Linked DNA regions of Styela clava. The protein of the gene in region 1 purifies or fractionates together with the protein of each later gene. This does not show direct contact. Links are inferred from orthologs where the notes say so. Each region holds a gene or a part of one and is shown in the gene's direction. Other genes may lie near its edges.

Region 1 (8,023 bases):
TAAGTTACATAAAAGACAAACGACAAGCGAGGGGAAAATGGTTAGACCAAAGACAAAATTGTAAGTGATTAATTGAATAGAAGTTGGTAAGCTCTAATAAATCATAAAACGTTGATATGTATATATATATATACAATACGCTCCACAGTAAGTGGGCATAAAATTTATTGGTTCGGTCAATTTTTTTACTACTATGGAGAGTTTAAAGTGTGTAATTTCCTTTTCTTATTACTTCGGTCTTATTGCTTTTTCTCTTCCTGGAATAAATATGGTCTTATTCGTCTTATTTAATTGTGGAGCATCGGTGTGAATTTTGGTCTATTTTAAAGCTCTAAAAATTACCTATCCCCGTATACAATAATACCTTACATTGAAAAGATGCAAAGTGTGTCATACCGGTGTCACAGATATATTAGTTGCATGCGTGCCATGAATCGGTGAATTTTCTCTGCTCCGACTGAGGGATGGACAATTTCACTTATCGGTAAAGTCGTATCACAGTAATCCAGGGTTACCTAAACGGTAAATTTTCAGAAACTTCCTGAGCTTTTTACACAATAATCATCATGAACTTTATTACATCGCAATCAGTAATTGGAGTAGTATGGTAACATACATATGAAGATACATTAGTTTATGTCCACCGATAGGTGATGTATTGTGCAACATTCTGGAAAGATTGCAATTTTACCAATTCCACTTTGTTTATATAGTACTGTTCGGTAATTAGTCACACTGAAACTACGGGAAATTTCTGTTTTGGGATAAATTATCGTTTCTATTAAAATACTGGAACAATCCTTTTCAACCTGTCAGCAGTTAAGAAATTGGAATCTTGAAAATGATATTAAGTTTAAAATTTTTCACGTTTTTTCTTTTTATATATATAGATTTCATAATTTTACTATTAAACTTTGACACCATTTAGATTTTCTCTCATCAATTTCAGAAAACGAGTATTCAACGATCGTTATTAGAAATGGATGTATATAAAATGTATATAGTAAACCAAAGTAATTTTTTCTGATAGGGAATTTAAAAACTTTCATTTGTAATAAGTGTGCCGCGAATTTTTTATTTCGTTGTTAGTATGACGCAAGCTGAATTGGGAACGCCTGCGTAATCTAATTAGTACGGTAGTTTACCTGTAGTGGAAGACCAAATCATAATATCATGAACTCCATCAAATCTGGAGTCGACCAACACATTGCCTCCCAAAACATTTCTGAAGAATTATGATAAAGCTGTGGGCCACCAGGTCTATTAAAACTAAAAAAAAAATGTGGATAGTAATTTGTGAAATCATTGTAAAATGATCGAAGAAATTTGTAATACGTAAGAGGTAATTTGTAATTACGTTTGAACCTAATGCGTTACATTTGTACTGATCATTGCCTTCAATTATAAATCAATTTATATTCAACAACAACATATGATGATGAATTAACAAAACATCTCTGAGGTTTTCTAAAACTGTTTAATTAGTTTTGAATGTTTTTCAAGACTGTTTAATATCTATCACAGGGTAAATATTTATTCTGATATATTTCAACATATTTGATATTGTGAACATCATACTTTTTAATTTTTTATCTTTGTAAATTGGAATTGTGGCCTAGAAAAAAAATTCCATAATCATTCAGGCTTGTCTGACATTAACATTCACTTGACTTCGACGCAGGCTGTGCAAAACTTTTTTGCTGCCCGTGGCAAGTTTCTGATAAAGATACCCCTATTCCCATAATTCTGGGACCGAACAAATTATAGTAATTGTTATGCATGAGACTAAATAAATTAAAGGTCAACTAAGATAGAAACGTTTGTTTTTATTAAATTAATCATCAAACTAAGCAACAAACATTTCCATTTCGGAAAAGCGACGTAACAGTAGACGTTTTAGTAGCCACATACACAGATTTTCTGGCATGGTTGTTAACCATACCTCGTTTTTGCATGCTATTCGTTTTTCGTTATGTTTCGCAAATTTCAGTACAAACTCAATGATTATTGCGACTTATTATAGTTTAATTGCTGCTAATCAAAAATTAGTCTAAAACTAGTCTTGACAGACTAGGCTCAACTTTTCTACCGGTATTTTTAAATAACAGGGTTGCATATTTTGAATTAAAATGTTTGTTTGAAACATGTAAACCAGTTTAAGGCGAAACCATCATTAAAAGCACCAAAAATGTTGCAACTGTAGAATATATGAGTGATTTTTCTGGGGTCAGTGGTCGGGAAAACATCTATTGTTGACTCACCATCACCACAGTCAGTCACTCACATATTGTCAGCTTTTAATTCAATAAAAACACATCGAGAAAAACATGTGTAATAACGCAAACTCTACCGCTCGGTTCTGCTGTCCTCTAGAACAGGGGTGTCAAACTCATGGGTATTCGAGGGCAGCATTGCATTTTGGGAATTGTGCAAAGGGCCGCAAACACACTTTGATATATTTTGATAATGTATACTTAAAGCATATTTTAGATAGGTGTAGTTTGTGACATATATATATATATATGTGAAGTAATTAAACAACCGAATGAAGTTTTTTTATTTTCCTAAATTTCAAATGCCATTTGCATATTATTTTCATGCATTTCACTATTATTGCAATTTACTGTATTTATTACAAAAAATCATAAACTTTACTTTCACAGATTGTTTTGAAGCAGGTTTTTTGCTGATTTAGCTGTACTTGCTGTAACTGCAACAGTTTCATGGTTCGAAGTTGATCTTTAAATTTAGTCATATTGAATGCTGTTCTTATTCTGATTATGTCTACTTCTATTGTATTTTTTCATTATACTGATGGAAAAGTGACGAATTGGACAATGATTTCAAAATTTTGAGAAATAACAATTATTGTTAAGCGTTCAAGAGCCGCATTGAAATTTCTATGGGGCCACATGCGGCCCGCGGGCCGCAAGTTTGACCCACCTGGTCTAGAACGTGCTACCTGGGACGACTGCCCCTTTCGCCCCCTCTAGGCACGCAACTGCCCCGATGTCATCAACTTGATCAGTTTCTGAAGTATTGTAGACTTACTTTTTTCTTTATACTTGAATTGATTCAAGTTTTTATCGTTTTTTCATTACTTTGCTGAAAACAGCGGGACATGATGGGCAATATTATTCGACGGGTAGAGCTTTCATATTGATTTATATTTACTTGTTTGTGGTAATGTTGTTATGTGAAATAAAATTTCAAGGTAAGATGATTTTGCATTTCCATTTCTTTCTTTTTATATATGACTTGCCTTATCTTTTCATCGTTTCTTCACTTTACCGTTACTATAAATATGAATGCTTGAAAAAAGTTATGCGCAGCGCATCACAATCCACGATGAATTTCATCGGGTTTGCCAACTGACACCAGCTAAAAGATATTATTCGAACTCTAGAACTTTAATATTCATTATGGTGTTGGTGTAAATGTTGTTTTGTGAAAAAAATCTCTTTTTAAATTATATGGTGTGGAATTATACCCGCCAACGCTAGTGGCGCAGGACATTGGGGGAGGCGACATTTACATTTGACGATTGGCTTATACTGTTATAGATGTCTTGTTTGTGACGGAAAAGTGTTGCCGATTTCGATGTCTTTTCGTAAACATGTTTAGTTGCTGGCTACCTATTCACTGACTCTTCTTACAGTCTGATTTCGTTTAAGGTGTTGTGTTGTAGTGACATAATTTAGCCAGGTGAGGGTTAGAAATGACATAGGCTATGCGAAAATCTGAAAATGGTTACGCCATGCCAAATACCTGACTGCTGACTACCGTACCACCGTACGGTACGGTACTGAACTAGAAGTACCGGTACTTGACGTCGTTTAGTGAACTAGCCCTTGATTTTCACTCACATTGGGATTAGTTTAAATATAATAACATACGGTACCGTAACATTAGGAATAGCTAAATAATGCTGTAATGTCTGAATGTTATATTTAGTTATCTGTTTATAAATTCTGTCAAAAACACTTGTCAATCCTTATGCAGAACCACCATAAGATGACGTGTGATAAAAATTTTTTAGAATATCAATCAGGTTCCTGCTGTAAATAAAAAAAATCTCCACTGTGATAAGCTCTGTGGTTCAGTGGTTGGTGCACATGCACCATGCCAAGCGTTAGGACTACATTGATAGGCTCTAATCCCATGGCAGCATGGCCGATAATTCAGTAATTACTGGATTATGGTATGTGCAAGACAAATAGAACGAAGAAATGGGGAGAATATTGAGCCAATATACCCTATTTTAGTTATATCTAGTTTATTATTGAAAGTGCAAAGTTTATTTTCTTTCAATTCTGAACCTATAATGCTAGTTTATATGAAAATAGTAGCATTCAGAGAATAATTTCAACATTAATATCCAAATGTGATGGTTTCCTGACATATATGCCTGTGAGCATGATTTACCAATGCTAATGGTCACTGCTATTATTGTTAAACAAAAGCAAATTTTCTCATGCAAATTAAATACAAATGGCTTACCTTTGGTTAATAACCTGGTTTAGAGACAATTGTCAGTACTTAAAGTTACTACTTACCGTACTATCAGTTTTTTTGTTCGAATCGAATTTGAGGTCTTTTTATGTGACATGAAGGAGTTAAATTTATTATCATTAGAATTATTGCTGTGATATCTTGCAATGGGCAATACATGTGTAAGCAATATTAAGCAGTGAATAGAGCAATAATCAACCTAAAACATGTATAGGCCTATCCAACATACATAACCGAGGTGCAGTATATACTATCAGCTTTTTGTAGTGGCACATATAAGAAATTTTATGTTTATTTTGATGTTTAATTTTAATTTATAGTAAAAACTTATTGCTTTTTCCAAGGTATTTTATGATATATAGCAATAATAGTCTGTTTAGATGAGATTTTTCTAATGTGCAAAATATACCTTTAGCATTGGACCATTCTCCTATTTTTATTCATATATTGGTTCTGGAACACATTCCAAAACTCATGTAATAAAATCCCTATGTTGTTTTCAGCTACAATAGTTCAGAATACAAATACTGAAATAGATGAAACCAAGTTTATCGTTTCACATATCACTACTTCCCTGGTGAATTCTGAGGCTAAAACAATTTTTTTTTTATCAACATTGAACTCAAGTTCAGTCCAAAGTTGAGAGAATTTTATTCTTCCTAGCTTTTAATAATCCTAGTTTAAAACAGTTGACTTTTGATATGTCTATGTCTAATATGGAGGAAGAGGAAAATGACCCTGAAATACAAACTACTATTACACAAGGTCATTCCGGCCATAGTCAGATCCTTCATGTCCGTCAGGATTCTGCAAATGAGTTGGATCAATTATTCAATGTTGCTTTGGATCCTAATAAAAAGACAAAATCCCTTCCCATGAAGTATAGGAAACTTCCCAAGTCATTTTTTCAGCAACCGGATAGACCACGTCATGTGCCGATGCATGCACACTCTCGTTCAATGGGTGGGCTAGTTTCAACACCAGTCAATCACTCACGGAGCTCCAGTACAGATTCAAGTGCATCTCATCAATCCGGTTTAAATTTATCTTCGAATAATCTTCCACAGCAGTCTCAAACACACATGAATAATAATATTGGACCCCGATCTGGAAACTTTACCCCAGGTCCAATGCAACACTCACCCTTCCAAAATTCGCCAAGTCACCTTGCCTTGCAACAACCACAAATCGCGCACTCCCGATCCAAGTCATCACCTGCAAGTTTGCAAATAGCCAACGCAAATATGCAGATGAAAATTCAGCAACCTAGTAATCATATTGAAATACCACCTGATATGCCATTACCACAGGGATGGGAATTCGCGAGAACTCAGGACGGTCAAACTTATTTCATGAAGTATGTAAATAAGTTAATTTTTACTTTTTTTTACAAGAAATACCCTTTTTCATTTTTATGAAGTAATTTTCAAATTTCTAGGTGCTTTTAAGATACTTATAATAGTCCAATATAATAGTCCAATTGAGGAAACAATGCACTTCTAACACATCCTGCTGTCACTTGTTAATTAAACGAACAAGTCTGAAGAACTGCACTTCATGAATCTAACATGGTTTTGGAACATAATATAGTCTGTTTCTAATTTTAGTTGTTGGTGTGATAAGTATAAATCTTATAATACGGTTCTTGCAAGTTATTATAGTACCAGTACTGAGTGCTTCGTGTGATATAAATTTATAAGTCTTCAACTCTGCCAGTACATTGATTTGTTTTATAATCACTTTTCAGTCACACAAACAGAACTACTACCTGGGTTGACCCACGAATTGACGTAATAAAAGAGCAACAAGAAAGAGTTAATGCCAATAACATGCAAGCAGTCAACCATCAACAGTCTCAGATGCATATTAATAGTGTACAACAGCCTGAGGTATCACATTTTTTTACATCATTTATTCTTTGCTGTGCAGACATAAATCGTATATCGAGTTGGAGATTATGGCTGTTTTAATTACATCTTTGCTCCATGCGTTTTACAGCATCAGCTTGTATTTTGCTTGCATGATTTGGTAAGATCTGACAATATATCGGTGTAAGTGATTGCATATTGCATCATTGCTATAAAAACTTAAGCCTCGGAAGTTGGAACGTTCTTCTCTAGTTGTTAACAATAATATAATGTAATATCATTTACTAATAAATTGAATTGAATGATTGAATCAATGTATTTTTTGGTGTTATTTTATCAACAATATTATCGTGCAACAATAATCATATCTAGAATAGCATAACCGAGTCATAATTTGAAATTTAGTGTGGCCTTCGCATTACCAGAAATTTGTGTATTTGACCCAGTATTACCGCTGCTCTAAAATACATGATAGTAGCTTAATTAGTTCAATCAATCAAATCGTTTTTTATTAGCAATGCCGGTAAAGCATAACAAAATGGAAACAAGAAAGATCACAAAATATTTAAACCAAATGGTAGGATAACCGTGAAATGACTATTCGGTCTACTTGTCAGCGGCAACCTTAAAATAGCTTAAATAAAAGTTATGGCTACAAAATTTGCACAGCGCTAAACGTTTTTATGCGAGAACAGCATCGCCCCAAGATGACGCTGAAAGGCAGTAATACACCTTGTTATTTATAAAACTAATCAATGGCTATAAACATTTCAGCAATTAGTTGTGCAGCAACCTCTTCCGAGTGGTTGGGAACAAGCAACTACACCACAGGGTGAAATATACTTCATAAATCATGAAACACGGACCACTAGCTGGTTAGACCCAAGACTTCAAGGTTCCTTTTTTTTAATATTTCCATGCAAATTATCATTTGCTTTTTATACAATATCAAATTTTTATCCTTTTTTCCTATTATTCTATTTGCATCAATTGTAGGCATGAATCTAGGTGGTCAGTCACAGATGAATGCACAGATACAACAGCAGCTTCATAAGGTAACAATTGAACTGTAATAATTTTTTTGTGAATACCCCTCGTTCAACTGTGATCTAAATGTATTGCTGTTTCCAGTCCCACAGTAAAAAGTCCTAGTTTGTTATATGACTTTTTGTTAATGAGATGTTGGGTAGTGTTGCTTAACACTGTATTAACAATATCTATTTCCCAATTTTTCCTTTTTCAATGTGACTAAAATATATCATGACAAGAGGAGGACAATTGTTAGACTATAGAATATCCATTATTAAGCAGTTATTCCAATGTCTGTAGTCTGTCGTACGAAATGTTTTGTGCAGAATTTTTTTGTAAATAAAGAAGTATTGTTCTAATTACGGCATTGTTTTAATAGTACCGAACAACAGTATTGGGCTCTAACAAGTGGTTTTCCCCAAATAATGATGATTGAACACTTCATATAATGTTTGCTTTACTCATCTCAGAAGAAATTTTTATAATCGGCAATGAAGTAAATCAAATTGTTTTGAGCTTAAATATTCTTTTATTTGAAATTTGCATCCTCAGTTTTTTTTGTCTTTTGTCATGACTTTCAAAACAATGCGTTTTCATTGGTTTGTTTCATAGTT
Region 2 (7,427 bases), on another chromosome or scaffold:
TATTTGCTAACTCAAGTCGGCGATCCTATCGGCCAAGATTGACACAAGTTTGGTCGGGTGCCGGTGGTATTCAAGTCGACGATAAATCAAAATAAGTTACTGCATTTGGTAAGACACTTAATCATATATGGCCGAAATATTGAGAGGAATTGTGAAAAACATTATGAGCAAGGCCAAGTCCGGACTGATATATAACGATAAAACCGTAAACAGAACATCAAGATTTTGTAATAGAAAATGGATCTCGCACAGAATAAACACACTGGCTCATATTTGATTATATATGATAGCAGTTAAATTTTCAGCGGTCCGCGAGGAATCCGTCGTTTTGCTGTTTCTCTGCCGTCTCAATCGCTTTACCGATGCCGAGAAGACGAAGTTGCTTTGGTTCATTACGCAATCTCTCTTTTTTCGCCATATTGCTATTTGATAAGCGCGACATTAATTATCACGGCGAGGTATTGGCGCGAGTGATCAATCGCTCTTTTCGCTTATTTGGTTCCAATTCGTCGCGAAAGCTCTTCGTTAAATTTCACAAGATCGTCGTGTAGAAAGGTTATGGATATTTTCCTGTTTATACCCCAAGTCTGAAATAAAACAGCCAAAAACAGTATGATATTCTATGTTCATATATCAAGTGTTGATATTAACAATAAAGAATGGTTAAGCATTGCTAATCCACACTTGGTGGGGGATTCCCACTATTTAAACGCGTGACTATAAAATAGAATAAAATAGAAACGGAACATATATACCATAAGTAACGGAAAACTGGAACAAGTAAATAATAAATAGAAGTAAAATGGATACAAATGTTTGATAGTTCGTGTTTGATAGATTGATCTCCTGCGTTCATTAGTCATTTCACCCGAAGAAGTTGAAACCGGGCGTGTTAGCGTCCATCGGTCTTAACACAATTCTTCCCCCTATCTACGGTTATTATGTACATTGGCCATGGCCATGCTAGATAAGATGCGAGAGAAGTTGAAAGCAGGTGTGTTGGCGTCAACCGGTCTCAACGCAATTCTATCCCTTATCTACGGTTAAGTTGCGGGAGAAGTTAAAACCAGGTGTGTTGGCGTCAAACGGCCCTACTCAGTTCTTCCCCCTTAACTACGTTAATAATTTACATTGGCCATGCCAGAGAAGTTGATAATAGGTTACTAAATGGCAACGCGTCATGCCTTCCTTCACCTACGTAACAAGAGAGAGAAAAACGGCTGCGAATACCGGAACTCTAACTTTTTCTACTTGTTGAGCTTTCATTTTTCGCAATAGACGAAATTGACTGCTTTGAAGAAAGCTCGTTTCAATGCAATAATTACGACTTTACGTAATTCGTAACTTCCCTTCCGTAACTCCAAATAATTACGTAATTCCGTAAATCCGTAAATTACGTGCAAGCCTAGTGGGTGATGAGCTTACTGTGAGTTTGGAAACACCGGAACCTTTCCGTTTCTGCATTGTCTACCCAATATATTATATTACACCCTTGGTGAGGTGGTGGTGATGAGCGTGTCCGGTAAATTCGCCGCATGAATTTTAGTCGCATAGGAAAATTCGCGGCATGAAAAATCGCCGCAAGAGAATTTTGCTGTAAAATAAGTATATATTTGTGATAGCATGAAAAATCGCCGCAAGAGCATTTTGCTGTAAAACAAGTATTTGTGATAAGGTTAGGGTGTGCTCTTAAATAACGACGCTTTTTTAAATAGAAAACTGTATTTATCACAAATACTTGTTTTCAGCAAAACGTTCTTGCGGCGATTTTTCCTACGCGACGAAATATCCTGCGGCGACATTTTATACGACGAATTTTCTTAGAACCGGTAATGATATGTGAACCTACGATGGCATCTACCGCTTGCACCACTAGGCCACCGCGCCAACGTCGTGTTTTATTAATTGATTTCACACCTATTAAGCCTCAGGGATGCACGTTGAATATATTTATTTGATGTCTCCGAATCAATATATCATTTGTTTTCTGTATTCCTTCACAAGACGAATAAACAACATACACGTATATTTTCAAGTCGAATATTTCTTGTAATTATATCCATGGCAAGATGCAATCTTTGGAGTTATATTGTGGCGGTGTTAGAAATATACAAAGAAATATGAGAAAACAAATTGACATCTTATTAGATCACTTTTAATTGCGGATAAAAACGAAGATAGTATTATTTGAGATGGAAAATCTCGTGAACGTTATTTGCAGATTACAGATTTAAAGCGAATCGACAAAATCCTTCAAGAATAATTTTAACGGTTAAGAAGACTTCAAGATTTTGTCGACCAAATTAAAAAGTTACTGGGTTTTGTTACAATAGTAAAGTCCAACAGTTCTCATTCACATAGCACACACATAATTGAAGCACAAAGAACGAAATCATACGACACAACAATAACAACACATTGGTGTCCTGATTGCCATTACAAGTCTATGTGGTCGAATCCTAATTAATTCATATTTTATTATGGCAACGACCACATTGGGTACTTTACTTGGGTGTGATATTCCCTATTAGTGACCGTTCCATTAGGTTACGGAAAGCCGCTACTTATTTTCATAGAATCTCGGTTGTGATTGTGTCAATAAAATTGACAAATGATAACCCAGTCTATATTCCGGTATTTGCAATATCTACCGTTAATGTCTCAGTTTCCTACAAACAAATGTAATTTTTACAAAAAATACTATTTCAGATATTGCTACACAGTCTCTAATTTTTACATGGCAGACAATGTCAGCATCGCCAGTTTCAATCTGCCAGAATTGTCTGTTAGGCAACTCAATATGAGTTGAGCTAATTCTGGCAACACAATCAAACTTCTTGAGCGTTCACAATTAAGGAAAACTGGTCATAAATCGCTAATCCTCTATCAATTAGTCGGCGATAATTACCCTCGTTGACCAACGGGGATTTATTCCATTTATTGAACGGCACATTGTGAACGTAAACTCTGGTTGGTTATGACTTCTTTCGTCATTCAAATCTTTGCACATGGAACGGTTAAATTAAATTCTTGTGTCAAAAATTATTGCATCTCAATTTCAGAAAACACAAAACAATTCACAAAATAAACATTTGCACTCTTTGAACACATTTTTCACTTCTGGGTATTTTACAAGAAAATTTGTCAAACCATTTGGGGGGATTTATCAGAAAAGTCACGACGACCAAGAACTATACTGATAATGTACTACCAAGAATTATAGTGATGAATTTCGCGATAGTAAATATCGATGGACACGCGATTTGAAGCAGTCGCGTTCAGTATGATAAGAAAAATAGCTACAGGGTAATAATTTCGCATAACTGAAGTATTGAAAAATTTTAGCATAAAATGTGTTTTGCTAATGTTTAAGGTACTACAATAACATGAAAGAGTTTCAAGGAAAATTAAGAGCTTTAAAAAGTTCATTTTAATTGCTATTTTTGTGGAAATATATATATGAATGGAATTCAGTATCAGCTGTTCCTCTCGCCCTCTTGAGATTATACAAAGGTGGTCGCTAGAAACACAGAAATCAGCTACCGTAATACTTTTTTACAAATAATAACGTTTACAAAGTTTTTTTCAAAGACATATGTTATATTGCACTCATAGATGCTCGAAATGTCCGTCCGTGCACATCAGAGCAGTGTTATAAGTTATAACCTAGAAGTCCAAGCTTGTGTAGCGTTTTGAAGGTTAACTTGTGGGTATCGTTTCAATTCAACCTATATCTATACGCATTTTATTCGTGATCTCATCTGACTTTCAAATTTTCTGCTACTCTAGGAACCACCCTCTAGTTTGGCGATAGAGAGCTGCTGAGAAGTCAAGTCTAAGTTTTTGTTGTATTGCTGAAAGCAAACGGTTCCCAATTTTACTCAAGGCTGTCTGTCGGTCGGCTATTTCTGTAGGAATTATTAGTGTATTAGGTTGCGACGGTTTAGAATTCATTCCAGCATAGTATGATAACAGAATAAGGTCAAGTTTATTTCGACTCCATAATCAGCATAACTGGTCATAAAATGATTGATAAAAACAAATAAACGAAAACTAATTGTGAAATAAGGGGAGCAAACAAAACCATTAGCATGAAAGTACCGTACCGGTACCGTATCCATTCCATTGGTTCTCGTGCTTGTCCGAAGGCGGAAAGGTACCGTACCGGTACCGGTAGGTATACAGGTATTGATAGAGTTGTGGCCACTGACATGCTTCAGTAGCTAAGTAGTGTGAGCTAGCATTATACTGTTATACTGTTATGTGACCTCACAGGCAATATCAAAAGTGCAAGATGCCAAAATGTAAGTAACGTTAGTCTACTACTGTCAACTGTACTACTTGATACCAGTCTTCAACAGATTCTGAGAATTGCAAATAAATGCTAAAAATACTAAATTTTCAACGCATATCTTTCCTAGATCATATTTCAGTATTCCTAATGTTTTAAGGTATAAAATGTTCTGCCATAAGCTACATTAATAATAAACATTAGGTAATAATCCAAATATGAATTTCGGTATGGATGGAAATGTCATTTCACCGTCATCTTGTTCTTCTTCGTCATCATCAACTGCGTCTTCTTCTCCTGTTATGATACGAGGAGATGGATTACCACCATATGGATCTAACGCTATGAGCGCTTCTGCGCGATTACCTACCGATGACGAATTGAGATTTGAGGGTGTAGAAATCCTAATACAAAGGTTACGAGCCTGTGAATCTGAACATAAAAAACTTCTATCAGATCGTGGTCGGGTTATGAAAGATGTAAATCGGCGATTACAGGTTCATCTTTTAGAAGTTCGTAGTTTAAGAGACATTAATCAAAAACTTCAGCAAGAAAAAGAAAGATTAACTACAGAAAAAGATGAACTAGGTGGAATGTGTTGCTTCCTTGATGATGATCGAGACAAAGCAAAGAAAATGGCCAGAGAATGGCAAGTTTTCGGACGTTACGCCACTGGAGTTTTACAAAAAGAACTTTCTCAATGTCACGGTAAAATCAGGGATTTAGAACAAAAACAACAAACATTATTATCTGAGAATCGAAATCTCAAAGAATTATGTTTGCTTCTCGATCAAGAACAAGCGGGAAGCAGGACTTCTATTGATAGTCAGAGTAGTTTTCACGGACCTGTGCCTGGATTACTTGGTGTCGCTGGCACAAGGGATTCTGGCGATGGAAGTAGTAATGGTTCAACTGCAAGTAATTCAAGTCCCGATCACAGGTTACCGACAAATATTCTTCAGAGAGAGACTAATTTAGGTAAACTATTTATGATATAAGTGATTAATTATCATATTCAAAAACATTTAAATTTTACGAGTATAGTGATATCAAAACGAATTTATCATACTTGTTTCACGTCAAAATCAAAACTAACTTGTCTTAAATGGAATTTACAAAATATTCTGAAGCCAAGGTCTGCAAAGATATTGTTTCAATTAAGGATGTCCAAATTTAAACACATTTTTGAATCAATTCGAAAAAAATTTATATCAAATTCTCAATTTTAGGAATAATTGTCAATAGTTTCACAGCATCGCCTTTAGTTAATTTTTGAAACCTGAAAAAGCCATTGTCACTTTGTCTGCAACTTTCCTGCATTACCAAAACAAACTCAATAAATATACATCAACCTTCCATGTGTTATTTGGTGATCCTGACCCAAATCAGAATATTCATTATTCAGAATAGATTGGTTTTGGCATTCATCTGTTTCGAATCATTCTTTTATTTTAGTCCAGCAACCTTGAGTCAACTTGTTAATCACCTATTTTGAAGTGAAATTTAAAGTAAAAAACAGTAACAGTCTATATGAGACAACCTCATGTATGAGTTGAAACTTGTTACGTTTTTTGATTCTTTAATTTTTGGGAAATTTTGTCAAATAGAATAATGAATAGTAAATATCTTAGCAGTATGTTCTTATTGATATGCACAATTCTGGTTGGTACTTACTTTTATGTTACTCATTTGTTCTATATTATCTCACTACAGAGGGCAAAGAAAGTTATGTTCGTTATTTGGAAAACAAGGTACGACATTTAGAAGATGAAGTTAAAGGAAGATTAAAAAAGGTGAGTGGACAACATACTGTTTTATTCACAATTTTTTAATTTTATTTTCTATTTTGTCACATTGCCATCATCTGTGTACTTTAAATTTCATTGAGATTTCATTGCAGTAACATTTTAGGTATTAACTATAATATTAGTATGGATTGTTTAACTCATTCTAAAGATACTTTGTCATATGTAGAGTTCAAGTAGAATTTATTGTATGGCATATATAGAGACAAATACTGTATATTGCTGTCACAAGCATTGTAGAGCATTATTCATATAAACCTTATGTGCGAGATATTTAGATGCATTTTATGTGGATAACACCAAGATTTGAATGTTCTAAAATAAGAAATTTTGATTTCAATGCTACTTGAATATGAAAGTAAATAACCAATAATTCAAACATTAATTAGGCCAGTGAAACAGTTAAGTCATGACATAGAGTGCATGAAATATTCTGGTAATATTTGAATTAATACTATCAGGCACCACCCACTGTATCTAACCATCCTCACGGAATCTTCAACAATATGTCTCCTGGTAAAGTACCGTTAGAAAGAAGAATGAATCCTCAATCTGCCTCACCTATAATACATTCGCATTCATCTTCAAACATATCACCTGCTCATTCTGCATTATCTCATTTATCAAATTCTTCATCATCTCTCAGCGGAGGCGGGAGTACATTAATGGTAAATTAACTTGCATTTTTTAATTAATACTCTCGCTGTTCTAAATTTTTCATAACTGATATCTTGCTTGTAATTATGAATTGAAAACTTTGAAAAATAATGTAGGTAATTGTTGTATCAGTGTAAATTACTTATATTCATATTGATTTTTTCATACTACCTGTCAGACTCTATTTAGTATGAGAAAGGCGAATTCTAGTTCTCGGAAGTAGTTTGGTATATCTTCTGTGTCCAAAATTATTTTTTTTTCTATATGCTTCTCCCCCCCCCAAGATAAATCTGTAAACCCTATCCTTTTACCGTTTTTCTTGTGCTCATTTAGAGTTATTAACTTTCCACTCTGATTTGTGCTTTTGTAAAACTAAATTTTTAAATAATTTTTACCATATTTAGACAATTCCCTCTTGATTTATTATAATAACTATTTTTCTCACATTTGGAGTATAGTTAGAGGTGGTAATTTGGCTTCTCACTCATGACATGGGCCAGAATTTTGTCCTAAATTCCAAGATTCGTAGGAAATTTAGTGTCTATTTAGTTGCATACTTAGCGAGTTCAGTTGCATGGTTTTTGTTAGGTTTTGGCGTTATCAAATGACAGTATCTGATTTGGAATAGTTTATGAATTACTCGCCACAGTTCCTATTAAATTGCGTACAATTCT
Region 3 (7,311 bases), on another chromosome or scaffold:
ACAAGATACCGACTGTAGCACAAATTACGCGATCAATATCAGAAAGTAGTCAGTTCTCAGCTCAGTGGCTGTAATCTGAAGTAGCAGTACGCTCTGCAAAATTGTGTGAAAATTGTTAGGCCCTACTCTACCGTTTGCGAATACATACATGCAAGATCACAAATTACGCTACCAATCTCAGAAACTAGTCAGTTCTCAGCTCAAAGGCTGTACGATCTAAAGTAGCAGTCAACGCTGCAAAAAAAGTGTGACAATTTTTACGTTATTGTAGTTGTTTACTCCATCGAAATTTAATACAAGCGGATTGTAATAACGTACGTAATCGATGTTCTTCCCATCATTATGATTTGTTGAAGGCGAACTCAAAGTACACATTTTAGGTGTAATGACCTCATTAACGACAGAATGGAAGTCAAATTTAACAATATTTTCACGCAATATCCACGAACTCGTTTACCATGAAGACGTCTAAAAGGAAATTACAACACGTAATAAAGGAAGTCGGGTATAATGTAGCAGGGAATTGAAGCATGCATGAGCAAACATGGCTCAAGATATTACATGTTTAATAAAATAAATTTAATGTCGTTCATGCTTGATATTACATAACTATAAATTTTGTTGAATTCACAATATAGTGTGAGTCGGTTTGCGCCATTTGCGAGAAAATCTTTGGAGTGACTTATTAATTTTCTGATTTCCACGTTACATGCTTAGTCTCAAACCATTTGCCTGAAGTTACCCGCTGGCCGGTTACTGCCTCCCCATCATTAAGTCCATGCATCTGAAACAAATAGCTTGCCAACTAAACCCGTGCGAGACCCGGACTTTTGGTATTCTGGAGCCCGTGAAGAGGTGAGTATCATTTACACCGCAATAAATTTTAAAAAAAACATTGTTACTTACCGATGAATGTTTTTGTGTATATTAAACTTAGGCCTACGTTATTTAATGACTCGGACGTATTTATAGCTTCTTTGGACAGTTACAGGTAAACGAATATCTCGCGGAGCCCTGGGTTTATCCCGCGGAGCCCTGGTACTATTTATGGATCACTTTGAGAACGTGTGAGACACACGCGTAAGCCATCTTGTAGGCCTTTCTTTTTTCCCCGGGACAAGTATGAAAATCCCAACCTGATTGAAGCTTTATATCTACTTTGGCATAGATTTGATCTTGAAATTCCAGTGCTTTACCTCTGCGTGACCTACTTCTATACCTTATGTACACTGTGACTGAGTTGTACTAGGACAAGTTAACTTAATATGGCGTGAATACCGTTAACACATCACAGTGTATCGCCGTCAATCGCGAACTCGTCGTATTGCCTATGACGTCATATGTTCATTGAAATTTATTGATTCTGACGTCACTGTATTTCATCAAACTGACTGCTTTCACGTATACCTAAATTTTAATCAAGAGAGGGTATCTCTTGGGAAGAAGAGACGTCAAAGAAAAGAGTCGAAATCGAAGTACATGCCTCCTTGCAACAGTTGTAACGAAATTCTCATTCCATCTTACAAATTTGAATCAGAAATATTCAACATCAACTTTGGCTCCCGACAGAACAAAATTGGTAACAAAATTGAATTGGCACCATCAAAACTGTGGCATCGGCACAACTGTTACTAGTTTCAGTTCGAAATTTCAAATTAGTTGCATCCACTAGTTTCAGTCCGAAATTTGGGCTCCAGGACTTTTTAAAAACGTTGAATTCTAACGTCATGCAGTTAATCTTTCGATCGACGCTCTGAGGATACCCTACCATTCAGATAGCAACAAAGCAATTAGGGCCAATAAGCACCCCTACTCCCGATTGATTAACCGGTGACCAAAATTGGAAGCGAAAGGATATTCGCGGGTCAGGAGAGGGGAGCGCCCTCAAGGTGATGATACCGGTTCCGATAAAAATATTTACGATACCGGTATAATTGAATTGTTTCGATTATACTACTGATCGAACTGTGACAATGACGTAACATTTGGCGGTATCTAAAACGCAAAAAAATCATAAAGTGTTGAATCATAAAGTTTGGCGAGCGATATTGACCGTTATGCGGGCCGTAATTGGCCCGTGGCCGCGGTTCGGGAACCACTGCTCTAGACTGCATGCCTATTATACGAAGCGAATCCGTGGTTAATTTTTCTTTTCTACAAATTATTGTTATTTTCATCGGTGGGATTGGATTGATTGTTGTTATCGTTGTGAAAAATCGCATAGCATAATGCTGTCCGTGTTTCCGAAAACAAATAACTGGCTAACTAATCCCATATCCGAAATGGACTGGTAACCGGACGAGATGCCGTGGTTTGCCATATAATTAAACTGTCTTTTCGGCATTTCTTTCCCCTGAACAAATATGTAAATCCTATCCCTCTGATTACTCCGCTTGGGTTCGCCTGCTGTGTTGGATAATTATGTACGAGAAGATTGCTTGGCACACGATCTCCGTCGAAGCGTGGTTCAGGTCCATGGTCTATTGTAACCCTAGTTCATCTCAATTGTTTGGACTGATATATTCCCTCTTTTGCACACACTCCAATTAAAATATATCCATACGGTTTAATCATATGACAAGCTACGGCGTCTCGTCCGATTGGGTGTGGAATTAGTGTAGATGCAAGGACTTGATGGTTTAGGAAGTCGTATCGGGCCAGCGGTTACGAGAACCACACTGCAGCGGCGAGTAGTCCAGCAATCGCACATAATTATTTTCCTATAAGATGCGAGCCCACTTTTGGTAATCAGGGGCGCGATGGCCAGCGTGTTTCTCACGCTCACCACGATGCGCCATATCGCCGAGCCAGCATCTGAAAGCATGGAAAATTAAGGTGTCTGACGTTGCATTATTATTATTATGGTATCGCATTCTCGTATTACACAATTTGAATCTTAATTATACTGTTCATACGCTGCGCAAATATTTCTGCGTTTTGTTAAAAATAAAAATTGGGAAGAAGCGCTGTGAAACCGGGTGAAACTTTCAATGACCAGTCGTTATAAAACCGCTTGAAATAGGAACTGGAGTATATAATATAGTTGTTAGGAGTCTGTTTATGCATACTCGAGTGTATGAGCAAATTTTGAAATATACTTTCAACGTAATATTTTTAAATTAGGTATTTTAAAATTAATAATTCTAGTATTTAAGGAGTTACAATATTCATAGTAGCTATCACTATGATAATTTTTGAGAATTTAGCTTCCGAGTTTTATTATTTGAACAAATGCTCCGGTCACTTCTTTCTCATCGACGCATGGGCCCCTCGCCGAATGTTCTCGACTGGCGATCTTAGTAACCGTAACGCTGTAATGGCGGTTGGGCGTTTTCGAACGACCTTCTGTTTTTGTTTTTCACAGGCTAGTCTGGTGTATACAAGTTGTGTTTGTTGGTTGTTGAAATTTTAAAGCTTATTAGGTTACATACCAGGACTGTTTTGTTTCTAGCTATACGATACCTGTGCTAACTATTGTAAGTTCCGTTGGTTGATGCATTTCTGCATTTGGAGATTGAGGTTCCAAATTCTCTGTTAAAGAGGCGCTGAGTTTGCCTTACTGATTTATATGCTTCTTGCTAACAGCAATTTTGCATCTCATTTCTTGGGTTAATCTCCTTGTCATTCTGTGGGGTGACTGGTTGATGAAAAGGAGCGCATGTCGCACATTTGTGTTTTAGGCCAGTACGGTCTTGTGCATGCGTTGCGTCTCCAATATTAATATTGTCAATTTTTTATACTGCTTACTACTACGAGACTAATAAACATACATACATACATACAAAAATGCAAACAATACCGAATACATAAATTTTACTACTTACAGACTGATCCATACCATTACCATGTTTCCTTAAAAAATGAATGCGCTATTATGAGTACCTGAAGAGCAAATTAAAAGTGTATACTAACTTTTGGACACCCTGTATATGGCGCACCTAATTCTGCAATCCATTCGCCAGACTTTTACTTTTTGACTCTGTTAGTTGTGTAGTTACGGTAGTACCGATACACGATAGTTCATGCATTTGAAACAATATCGGTAACATATGTTTTGTTTTGCAAGATGCATAAAATTAACTCTTTCCTACTACTGTACGACTGTCAGACTGTACTACTGTTTTATATTTTCTATCAGAGCTTCTCAAATTTAGCACCATCTCATTTAAAACATTTCTGTATTTGACTGGCTGTTTTTAAACAGCTATATTTTTATCCTCTTAAGATAGTATTCAATTTTATTTTTTAGAGAAAGTATTCTATAAAATTTCGATATATCATGTATTTCCATATTTATGTCTTCATTTTTAGATTCATAATCTAATTTATTTACAAACTGTGATCTCAAACAAATATCTTTCAAAATGGTGAGTACGTAGATACTAATAATACTGTAATACCTGGACACGGAATCATTGAATTTGAAAAATAGTTGTAATGACATTACTACCTATCGGTCATCAGATAAGTCTGATTACAGTACAGCACACTATCCAAATTCCAGGAATTTCCCTCCATTTGGCTCAATAAAACAAACACTCTATGTGTCTCACAAACGAGGGGCACCTGGGACCACGTCAGATGCGTCATATCACACCATGCTTGTCTCAATAATAATCTAAATTAATCGCGGTCGTCACATGATCAAAATTGCCGTTTTTAACTAAAAAATCTCGAATGCTACGGTAAAATATTTTTTCTTTCGGTAAATCGGATTATTTTTTCCCCAAGGAATTCAATGATGAGTTAGTTATTAGATTGCGCTTCTTTGTAGTATTTTGCGCAACTTCATTATACTGTATTATTACCGATATTGAGGGACAACAATGTCCTGACGTCTCCCAAAAGAGGGGTGTCTAATCATTTGTAAATGGGTTTCTCTGAAACGGGACAATGTCACCCGATTTGTAGTGTGCCGTACTGGATTGACAATAAAATTGCTAAAGTGGACCACACCTTTAATATTACGCAAACGCCCAAAATTACGTAATGAGACGTTAGATATATATGGAAAATTGTATTCATGTATTCTACCTTGCATGACCCAATTCATTTTTACTGTTTCAGATGTCCTTAAGCCCAATCTCAATTTATAATGCTGGAGCAGATGAAGAAAAGGCAGAAACCGCAAGATTGGTGAGTATAAGAAATATTCAGTTATATGCAGTTTCAAATATTATTTTTGAATCAATTTTCCTTTATGGTAGGAATTTTTTCATAATTTGTCTAAGCCAAATTAATTTAAGGTTTTATCCCACGAGCTTCAGTTAAGTAAAATTTTCTACCTCAGGTCTGTTTCTTGATCATTTTGAAACTGCTCGCTCATGTAATGCACCATCATGAATCTATATTCTGATATAGTTTCAGTAACTTTCGGTATTTCAACAGTCGCTCTTAATTTGAATCTTAAATTATGGAATCAGCGATCATCTTTAAATTTTTAGTCTTCATTTGTTGGAACTGTCTATCTCAATGGTATTTCTTGGTTATTTTGAAACTGCTTCAAGTCTCAGGCTTGGAATACACCATCATGAATCTTTCAGTAACTTTTAGTATTTCGCCGGTCGCTCTTAATTTGACTCAAAGATGAGTCTCCTTTACTTATGAGCCATAAATCCATAGTTTCGCTAGCTCTTGGCAATTCAGTAACTTCATAACGACCATAACTTCAATCATAGATGAGTTTCTTTTAATTCTGTATGAGTGAGTGTGACCTTGATTTGAGCAAATTCTTTTCAAAGAAATGGCTCGTCTTTCTTACTTTGTGGTTTCGGTTACCCATGGTATTTCAGTTGCCATTCATATTTTTGCTCGAAGTTGAGTATTGTTTACTTCTGTGTGAATCCACCTCGATTTGAGAGAATTTTTCAAAATCAGCAATCATATTTAAATTTTTAGTCTTCATTTGTTGGAGCAATTGCTATCGGTGATCTCGTGAAATCAACGCTAGGTCCAAAGGGAATGGATAAAATATTGATGAGCGCTGGACGTGAAGGATTGGAACCTGGCATCACTGTTACAAACGATGGAGCAACAATATTGAAAGCTGTCGGAGTTGATAATCCTGCTGCTAAAGTCTTAGTTGGTAAGTTCGGATGGATTTTTGTATTTATACTGGGGATAGCCAAAGCCGATAAAACTGCCTATTAATTACCTGGCAACCTATTTTCCTGCTACCTTGTTCAGTATAGTGTCCCCTCTTACATGAACATCCACAAAAGAATCAAACCTAAGAACCTGCACATAGAAATATCGCCATGTTCGGTTATCTCATTATACAATAAAACTCAGCCTCTCATTACTTAAGTAAGTATGTTGATAAGTATTTGTCTGTCTGTTTGTCTGTTAGATGCACGCGATATTTCACGAAGGCGTGGTTGAATCTGCTCCAAATTTTGCATGTGCATTCATCATATCTCGGACCAGAAGCCTATTAATTTTGGATGAATTATGTCGTATAATTAGCGAGTTAATAATTAATTAGTGATGGGACACGCGGTGTCACTATAGTCATGAATCGAAATCGCAGTTTCGATCGATAAGTCTTCGGTCTCCGACCGATATTCTTGTTTGTTTACCAGTCCGTGCCGGGTATGGAATACGAGTATATTATTGTTTGACTCACAGTAATTGACTTTATGGTGATGGAAGCTGTAATTGATCGGTTGTCATTGAACCACCATACGAATGTAAGGAGTCCAAGAACCCTCTCAAATAAATATCTCTTACAACGTGGAATCTGATCTCGCATAACGATAATCAGATATGCAACGGCGCGTTTTCAATAATTCGATTCAGCTACTCTGTTTGAGCTGAGTGGCTCTACTATAGGTTTTGATACCGAGCATATGCAAATTATATTCTAGATTTCAATCTTTGCATTAAATTTAACACCTCTCGATCTTCAAACAAGGATTATGCTATAAATCAGCAGTTTGTACATAAGGTTTTAGTGTGATTGATAGCACTGCTCCTAAACCTTCATTGCGTCGAAACGAACTTAATTGCTATTGCTTCATCATTTAAATAAAAAAATTTAATTTTCTAATTCCCAGATATGTCCAAAGTTCAAGATGATGAAGTAGGAGATGGAACAACGTCAGTTACTGTGCTTGCTTCTGAGTTATTAAGAGTAAGTGCTATTGTAGTAGGGGTCACTCATCTGTGAGAGGCCAAGCAAGGTGTTCGATTGTGCTATTTGTATATGCCTTCAGTACTCTGTTCAGCATTGAAGGCAGCACAGAATTGCCAGATCTGCAAGGAACTCAGGACCAACATTAAGATGTCTGATTTAAGGGTGTGGCCAGGGAT
Region 4 (7,828 bases), on another chromosome or scaffold:
CAGTTTGGTTGGCAAGGTCATCCAGGTTTGAAGTAAGCAATCTGAAGATGATATTAGTCAATCACATGAGAGAGTATGATTTATGTTATCTAGCTAGCGTACCCTTGGGTGCGTCTGAAGGGGGTCATACTCATAGGGCTAGCTGCCCCGGCAGCAAATTGTACATGTGAGTCTGTTGCTTAGTTTGATGATTTAATTAACAATAATACAAACATTTCACTCTTACTTAACCCTTAATTTATTCATTCTTATGTATAACAACATCTATAATTTGTTTATCACCCGAATTATTTTGAAGTTAGGTATAAGGAGCATCATTACCAGAAGTTCGCCCAGGTAGCAGAAGAGTTTGCCACGTCCTTGAGCATACCTCATGCTAGTTGTGATATCTAGTGACTTGTTTTATTTTCAGTATAATAGTTGATAAAAACCTAGGAAACTACCAAAATGAGATTTTCTTGACGGTTTGTTTAATAGAACCTGAACCAGTTATGAAATGCCAGCATTTAAACAGTGCAAGTAAATCAGAATCTTACTTTTCGGACACTTTTTTTCATTGGCTCCGACTTTTTATCAGGTTTGATGGAAAACAAACCAGGTTTTTCATAAATAAGAAGCCCATTTGGCCCTCGAACATCAATTGTATCCCCGATGCGGAGACTTTCCAAATATTGAGACATTTTTCCTCCTTCTGGGAACTTGGGGTGAACATCTTTGAAATAAACCTATATCAGAAAAAATTTAAAAAAAATTTATTATAGAGAGAATGAGCTCAGAGCAAGGTTATTGGCACTAATTCGGAAGTAAGAAGGCTCTAAATTTCTGAGCAAAATTATTGTCAGTGGGCACTATAACTGTTTTATATTATATTCCCATGCGATACTCGACACTAACTGGTAACCAGATGAGAGGTCTCATGTGGAATACTGTATTGTGGCTCCCATTGTTTCATGTTGATTTTCAGCCTTGTCTACAAACATCGTCTATTCTCCGAGTTAATGACACAACAGTATGGTTCGTGACAGGATTGAGTCTCCAATCTCCATATCATCGATGTTACCTTATTGCAGTAAAGTAATAAAATTACAATTAACATTACCTTGACAACAAGATCCATGTGTCCCTTATCTTTATCAGATGTCACCGGGGTGTATGGCCTAATTATCAATTTTCCATTGATAACAGCTGATAAGTAGATATGCTGTCCGATAGGTAGACCAAGGATATGCTCTGATGATGGTAAAGTGAACACGAAACGCCTGTGGAAAGCGAATGGATTTTGTTATTTCGAGATCATGCAAGAAAGGGTGTCAGGTTCTTAGCCAGAGGGGGGAGGGGTTGAGGGTCAAAGCCAATCTTTTAAAATGAAAAAAAAAAAGATTTTCAAAGCATTTTTCTTCTGTATCATGCAGAGCCTTATTTCATAGCTTGAAAACCCTTAAAACCCAGAATATCCCTCCTGACCGGCTAGCAGATACGGTCTGACTTGGCAAGTATAAATCTCACATCCCTCCCCCTTATGATGTATGATACTTCCTGGCTATGCACCTGATTACAAAGACGAATTAAGAATATATTCTGTATCAGAACCTATTTCAGCACAAATAGAAGCTTAAAATTAACAATATTTGTTAGTCAAATGTCTTTTTCGTCATGTGAATACCTTGTATCATGAGAAACAATTTCTTTATCAGCCAATCTAAGTGGATATTTGACATCAGGATCCAGAAGTGTTATCTTTGGTTGATTTTTCTTTCGCTGCCAAATGAAGTATGCAACAGCACAAACAACTGAAATCCCCACAACTGAGAATCCTAGAAGACTCATCTGAATAAAGAACATAGATCAAAGTTACCCAATCAGGAAGGGATTTACATCTTTATCCCGAGGGAGCCGATAAGACAGTTTAACCATATCGCAAACCACGGCCTCTCATCCGGTTACCATTCCATGTCGGGTATGGGATTAGTTAGTTATTTGTTTTCAGAAGCATGGACTTGATGGCGGATGCAGGCGTAACCGACCAGCGGTTACGTAAACCACCCTACGGCGGTGAGGAGTTCAGAAATCCTCTCGCACATGACCATCCCCACATGGGATTCGAACCTGCGAACCCATGCAGAGTAATCAGAAGTGCGTGGCGAGCGTATTCCTAACGCTTAGCACGATGAGCCACACCGCCACGCCATTCTTGGGCAGAAATCGGCTCGGCGCGGCGGTGTGGCTCAACAGGCTAAGCGTTAGGAATACGCTCGCCACCGCACCTCTAATCACTCTGCGTGGGTTCGCAGGTTCGAATCCCATGCAGGGATGGTTATGTGCGAGAGGATTGCTGGACTCCTCGCCGTCGTTGGGTGGTTCACGTAACCGCTGGTCGGTTACGGCTTCCTCCACCACCAAGTCCATGCTTCCGAAAACAAACAATACAGTAAAACTAATCCCATACTCGACTTGGAATGGTAACCGGACGAGAGGCCGTGGTTCGCCATATGGATGAGCCGTCTTATCGGCTTTCCTCTCCCCCGGGATAAATATGTAAATCCTATCCTATCCTAAATTTTGCTTAGAATTTGCTGTCCTAGTATTACTACTAATATTCTTCATTTCTTTATTAATATCATAATTGATATCGCTTACTTATTCTACTACCAAAACTGTATGAAAGTATGAGTGCGACTTGAGCATAACACAGAGCAGCAGAGGCAGGGTTTTTATGTTTAGTTTTTATGAGTAACTAGGAAGGAAAAAAAACATTAAAAATAGGTGAAAGGAGGAATTTAATGAAAAAGATTGGTATTCACTGACATAGATGGTTGGTAAATAGGTTCATTTCTATATTTTTAAAGCCAGGTTATTCTAACTGGGGAGGAATTCCCCCACTAAGAAGATTTTATTGTCTTACAGGAAGAATATCTACTTTGAATTTTGGTGTAATTTTCAGACATCAGGACATGGAATAATCAAAACAGCAAAAGGATTTATGAAAGGGCCTCACATTCACAAATACAGAATTGCAAAAACTGCATATCAGAACGATAATTGCAGATACAAATCTTTTTAATATGATCTAATTTCCGAATGCAAAACTGAAAAGAAAGAAACCATTTCCCTATTTATCTTGCTTAATCAATTAACTGGCAAAAGTCTACGGTATACCGGTACCAGCCATTTAAAATGTAATAGATATATCGCTCACTGTTGGAGAAGGCTTCATACGGCAATCCTGATTAGATGTGTCGAAAAAAAACGAACACTCAGTACGGTAGGTCACGTTCGCATCAAGCAAATACAAGAACCGCTGCAATGCAAACACCAACGAAGTTATCGAGTCAAAATTTCAAATTGCAGTGCGTTGCGTCACTTTCTAATAAAATAAATAGATAAGATATCAATCTTTAATATTAGCCACTCTTTTAGTTATTGCACAATGAATTTAATACCGGTACGAGTAATTGTGTGAAGAAAATGGATAAAGTCGTTGAAGAATGATAGTTGTGCAAAAGTTATGATAGGTTCGAAGGTCACGAGTTCAGGTCGGGTCAATCTCGTCTGAAAGTTACTCAAGTATATCAGCGATTTATTTTATTTCTGGAAATTTTCAGGTTTCCTCTTGCTGTCTTGACTCTTTTGCGTTTGTTTTCACGTCGTTATGGTTTTTAGCCTGCTGATAAGTTTTGAATTTTAGAGATATAATTTTTTAATTTTGTGATTTGTTTCAAATCATATCGTATTGAATGATAGCTAGATAAGATGTTGTCTGACATTGATCAGGTGATGAACTTGCTGACCTGTAGGCCTACTGCTGTACTGTGTCCATAAACAAACTTTCACACTTGCCGTCGTCTTGTGTTTTAGTTTCGCTGATAATGAGACAATATTGTAATAATTCAAAGGCTAGATAGATAGAGAATTACTACCGGTAGGCTACCGGTATTTCAGCAACTTTCAGTAAGTTTCCTTTTTAACTGTCTTTTTTTTAATTAAGAAATGTGTAATGTCTGAATATATTCTATAAAGTTAAACATATAGCCTAATTGCATTTCTGACCGTCATATATTTTAAGAACACCACTCGTCAAAATATAAATAAAGTGCCGTACCGGTACGGTACCGGTATCACAGCAATCAAACAGACAATAACACGGTGATCGCAAATTGGTCGACAAAGATATTATCGACGTATTTGAAATGTGCACCCCCTATTCCCCCTCCTTTAAATGTTGGAACGCAAAACTTTAAAGATGGTTAAAAGAAACACAACTCTACCCACCTGCTGACCTGCCAAGTTTCATCTTTTTATCTTTTAAATTTGTATAGATTTTCAAGCTTTTTGAAGGAACAATGGGTACCGGTAGTTGGCGATATGAAAAAAGGGTTCGTTTTTTTTTCTTCGGGCGGGTTTTCGATCGTAACTTTTTTGTTTGTGGATGCATTTTAGTGTAATTTCCCAGAGCTACGAGGGACAAGTGGACGAAAGCGCGTGAGGAATATCGTCATGGTTCGTTAGTTTGATGGCCGCAAATAGGTCGTGGCCGCAAAGTGGGTAAGCCATCCTATTTATGATAGTTGACATGAACCCATGATAATACTATAATACAATTCTGAGGTTGATAAGACATAGCAGGTTACTGCTGTGCTGACAGATTGAAGTTAAAACTGCAGGATGTTGACCGAACCAGGTCAGTAAGTCTATTTTTTTTCCTATTCCTATTTTTTTCATTTTACTTTGATCGCTTCAACTCCAGTAGCTCTGTGGTCTAACAGTTGAATCTAAACTATGTTGGTGTTCTATTTGATAGATCTCTGTATAAGTCTCTATTCCAGTATTTCCACCATTTTTTCAGAGTCTGTGAAAATAACATTTGTTAATTTTAGTTTAAATAATATGGCTTCTTGATAATCGCTTCACAATTATTCCTGAATTGATGTCACTAACATCATTTATAAGAGATGCCGTTCCCACTCTTCAAGAAAAAGAAAAGCATCAACATCAGAGTATCCACTTTGGATGCGGATTTAGAATTTACGTAAGAAGCACAATATGGTACTCCAGAAGTATGCACACCAAGATGTCGCACAACCTGACCTAACCAGTACACACATACTATGTTCAGGTTGTGCGCCATCTTGGTGCGCATACTTCTTGGGGTCCCACAATATTATTTTACTAATTATTCACCCTATCAATCATTTGGTTAAATTGTTGGTGTTGGAAAATTCGACTTTACTGGACAACTAACGAACCAAGCGATTCCAAATATTCAAAACTTAAAGATGGTAGCCGTTAGAACCTTAATGAAATTTATATTTTTTTCAAACTTATGAGTCATTTTGCTGCTTCATTTTAAATGATGCGGACATTTTTTAATAAAATATGAGAACACTTTATTTCATCATAAGATCATTATTGTCAGCTGTTTTATTTTGCAAACTTTGAATGCTAAGATTGCTTAGTAAATTTGAACTTTTTGAGTAAGTTGTAAAGTTTGTAACAATTTCGACTTATTTTATTACCATTGAATATCTGAACTTATCTCAATCCTATTGAAATATATTCTTTTAGGGTCTCAAATCAAGTGAAAGCTCAAGTTGTATTTGATTTGATATGTCGGACAATCGGTCTGAGAGAAACTTGGTATTTTGGTCTCGCATTTCATGATGTCAAGAAGAGGTTTACATGGATAAAACTTGACAAAAAGGTGACAAGAAGCTTTCTTTTTTTATCGAGATTGTTGAGGAAGAGCTACAATTCAATACTCCCGAAGTATGTAAACCGGAACGTAGTATGTGTACCAGGTTTAGGGTTAGGATATAATTTCAGGTACAAATACCACAGGAGTCACTTGGCTATTCCCCGAACTCGTTGAAATAAACTTATTGTCTAACCCTAACCTGGTACACACACTACGTTTCAGTGTCTGCCATCTGGGCACATACTTGGGGAGTACTTACAATTCACTTTGAAGTGACAGCATTGACTTATTCCTAAACCACCATAGAAATTTTCACAATGAGAGAACATATAAATTATTATTATTTATATAAATTCACACAGATGAAATTTGATAGGTAAAGACGTAAAGTGTTTATTTTCATACAGATCTATTTTTGGTTTTATTGGATTGCAGCTAACTTTAAAATGATGTCTTCTGTGCCAAAATCCACTTTGAAAAATTGCCTCAATTGTTGAGTATTCACTGGGCAAAAACCGAATAAAAATAAGTCCATGTATCGATAACAAATAACTAGTTATGAAAAATTGCCATACTCCATATGGAATGGTAATCGAACGATAGTCCATGGACGAGAGATTTTCAGAGATTTATTTTCTTAACATTCTCATGAGGGATATTATTACCAATCATTGTTTACTATTTGTTCGTCATTCGTTTACTAATCCATTCTTTATATTCAGCTTCTGAATCATGCAATTCCAAAACCAGTGAACGGCGACAAACTTGAGTTGAAGTTTCTCGCGAAGTTTTATCCTGAGTCAATGGAAGATGAACTTATACAAGAGGTCACGAGACACCTGTTCTTTCTGCAGGTAATATAGTGTTATTGGATAAGACCTATGGATCGTGTTAGTGTTTTGTTGTTATTCTTATTTGTTTTTTTCCTCAATAAAAAATCACTTCTCTTCGGATACTGGACCAATTGCTTTGAAATTTCCAGTGGTTGTAGATTGATTTTTTTGCCAGAAAGCTATTTCGGTACTTCCATTTATTTCAAATATACCGGTGAGCTGCATGGAATTCATTTTTTGTGTGCTATGATGTCATCCGAATTTGCCACTATGTGTGGCTACATGTCCATATATTTGAGCATAGCTCTTTTGTTTTGCTCTAATCATGGTTCTATTGCTTAATGCTATATTGTTTCACTTGATTGTAGAACATTTGCACTCGACTCTGACTCAAAATTCACTGCCATGTAAAAAAAATCATTTTGGCTTTATCTCTTGGTTCTTTGTTGATAAAAATTCATCTCCAACTTCTTTTTTAGCTTTTTATTTAATTAATTATGACTATAGTTTAGTATTAATTAACTAATTAGTATTATCAATTGTCCATTTATTAATCTATTAATACTATAAGGCTGAGCGAGCTAAGCTAAGACTTTTCATTGTGAGAATTTTTTAATTTCTTGTGTATATCGAAAAACTATTTTTTTTGTGTGGCTGTGCTAGATGGTTGGTTCTAGATATTCCATATTCATAAATATTTTAACATAACTAATATCGTAGTGTATCCAGTTTACCACTCTGTTTAGATACTTCCCCGTTCAGCATTCCCTTCCTAATTTATTTTTCTAATGTTGGACTATATTTACAGATTCAGCATTTAATATTGTCTGAAGATCTTTACTGCCCTCCAGAGGCATCTGTACTGCTTGCCTCGTTCGCTGTTCAAGCAAAGGTGCGTGTTTTCATTGATATATTGATAGATTTTGTATTTTGTTGCATCGGTGAACATTTATTCTCAATTTGGCATAGGATAGGATAAGTTGGTTTAGATCAGGATTTCTCAAATTTTCGATTTCACTGAGCCCATGAAGAGGTTGACTCTTATTTATGGAGCCCACAATATATTTATTAAAATAAACACAAACAAAAAATACATTGTTATTCTTTGAATCATGTTTTTGAGAAACTTATGAATAAAGTCATATTTGAACATCCGCCTTCTTGCCAAATTTCAACGCTACAGTTGTCAAATTTTATTGATGCCGTTTTTGCTTCTTTGGATAGTTATTAAAGTTAGCCAAAAGTCTCACGGAACCTCGGGCTTCGTTTGCAGCACTTTGAGAAAGTCCCATCTCTCTGCAAA

Evidence for each region.
Region 2: the proteins of transcriptional coactivator YAP1-A-like (region 1) and coiled-coil domain-containing protein 85C-like purify together in Homo sapiens (affinity purification with mass spectrometry; 5 studies listed by BioGRID and IntAct, with this or other methods). This does not show direct contact. The link is inferred for Styela clava from reciprocal best matches to the Homo sapiens genes YAP1 and CCDC85C.
Region 3: the proteins of transcriptional coactivator YAP1-A-like (region 1) and T-complex protein 1 subunit beta-like purify together in Homo sapiens (affinity purification with mass spectrometry; 3 studies listed by BioGRID, with this or other methods). This does not show direct contact. The link is inferred for Styela clava from reciprocal best matches to the Homo sapiens genes YAP1 and CCT2.
Region 4: the proteins of transcriptional coactivator YAP1-A-like (region 1) and merlin-like purify together in Homo sapiens (affinity purification with mass spectrometry; 7 studies listed by BioGRID and IntAct, with this or other methods). This does not show direct contact. The link is inferred for Styela clava from reciprocal best matches to the Homo sapiens genes YAP1 and NF2.

Annotation. Positions count from the first base shown.
Region 1 is NC_135257.1:9,974,263-9,982,285, forward strand, and holds the start of transcriptional coactivator YAP1-A-like, read left to right. Parts: upstream 1-5,014; 5' UTR 5,015-5,213; coding exon 5,214-5,869; intron 5,870-6,259; coding exon 6,260-6,401; intron 6,402-7,154; coding exon 7,155-7,275; intron 7,276-7,376; coding exon 7,377-7,435; intron 7,436-8,023. UniProt on the Homo sapiens protein: Transcriptional regulator with dual roles as a coactivator and corepressor. Critical downstream regulatory target in the Hippo signaling pathway, crucial for organ size control and tumor suppression by restricting proliferation and promoting apoptosis.
Region 2 is NC_135251.1:11,944,182-11,951,608, forward strand, and holds the start of coiled-coil domain-containing protein 85C-like, read left to right. Parts: upstream 1-4,425; 5' UTR 4,426-4,509; coding exon 4,510-5,269; intron 5,270-6,004; coding exon 6,005-6,084; intron 6,085-6,557; coding exon 6,558-6,764; intron 6,765-7,427. UniProt on the Homo sapiens protein: May play a role in cell-cell adhesion and epithelium development through its interaction with proteins of the beta-catenin family. May play an important role in cortical development, especially in the maintenance of radial glia.
Region 3 is NC_135255.1:22,610,283-22,617,593, reverse strand, and holds the start of T-complex protein 1 subunit beta-like, read left to right. Parts: upstream 1-4,303; 5' UTR 4,304-4,364; coding exon 4,365-4,367; intron 4,368-5,067; coding exon 5,068-5,136; intron 5,137-5,898; coding exon 5,899-6,085; intron 6,086-7,055; coding exon 7,056-7,132; intron 7,133-7,311. UniProt on the Homo sapiens protein: Component of the chaperonin-containing T-complex (TRiC), a molecular chaperone complex that assists the folding of actin, tubulin and other proteins upon ATP hydrolysis.
Region 4 is NC_135252.1:22,934,555-22,942,382, reverse strand, and holds the start of merlin-like, read left to right. Parts: upstream 1-4,817; 5' UTR 4,818-4,949; coding exon 4,950-5,026; intron 5,027-5,562; coding exon 5,563-5,698; intron 5,699-6,414; coding exon 6,415-6,546; intron 6,547-7,333; coding exon 7,334-7,417; intron 7,418-7,828. Other genes in the region: NADH-cytochrome b5 reductase 3-like, read right to left, coding at 537-725, 1,100-1,259, 1,664-1,827, 3,197-3,214. UniProt on the Homo sapiens protein: Probable regulator of the Hippo/SWH (Sav/Wts/Hpo) signaling pathway, a signaling pathway that plays a pivotal role in tumor suppression by restricting proliferation and promoting apoptosis.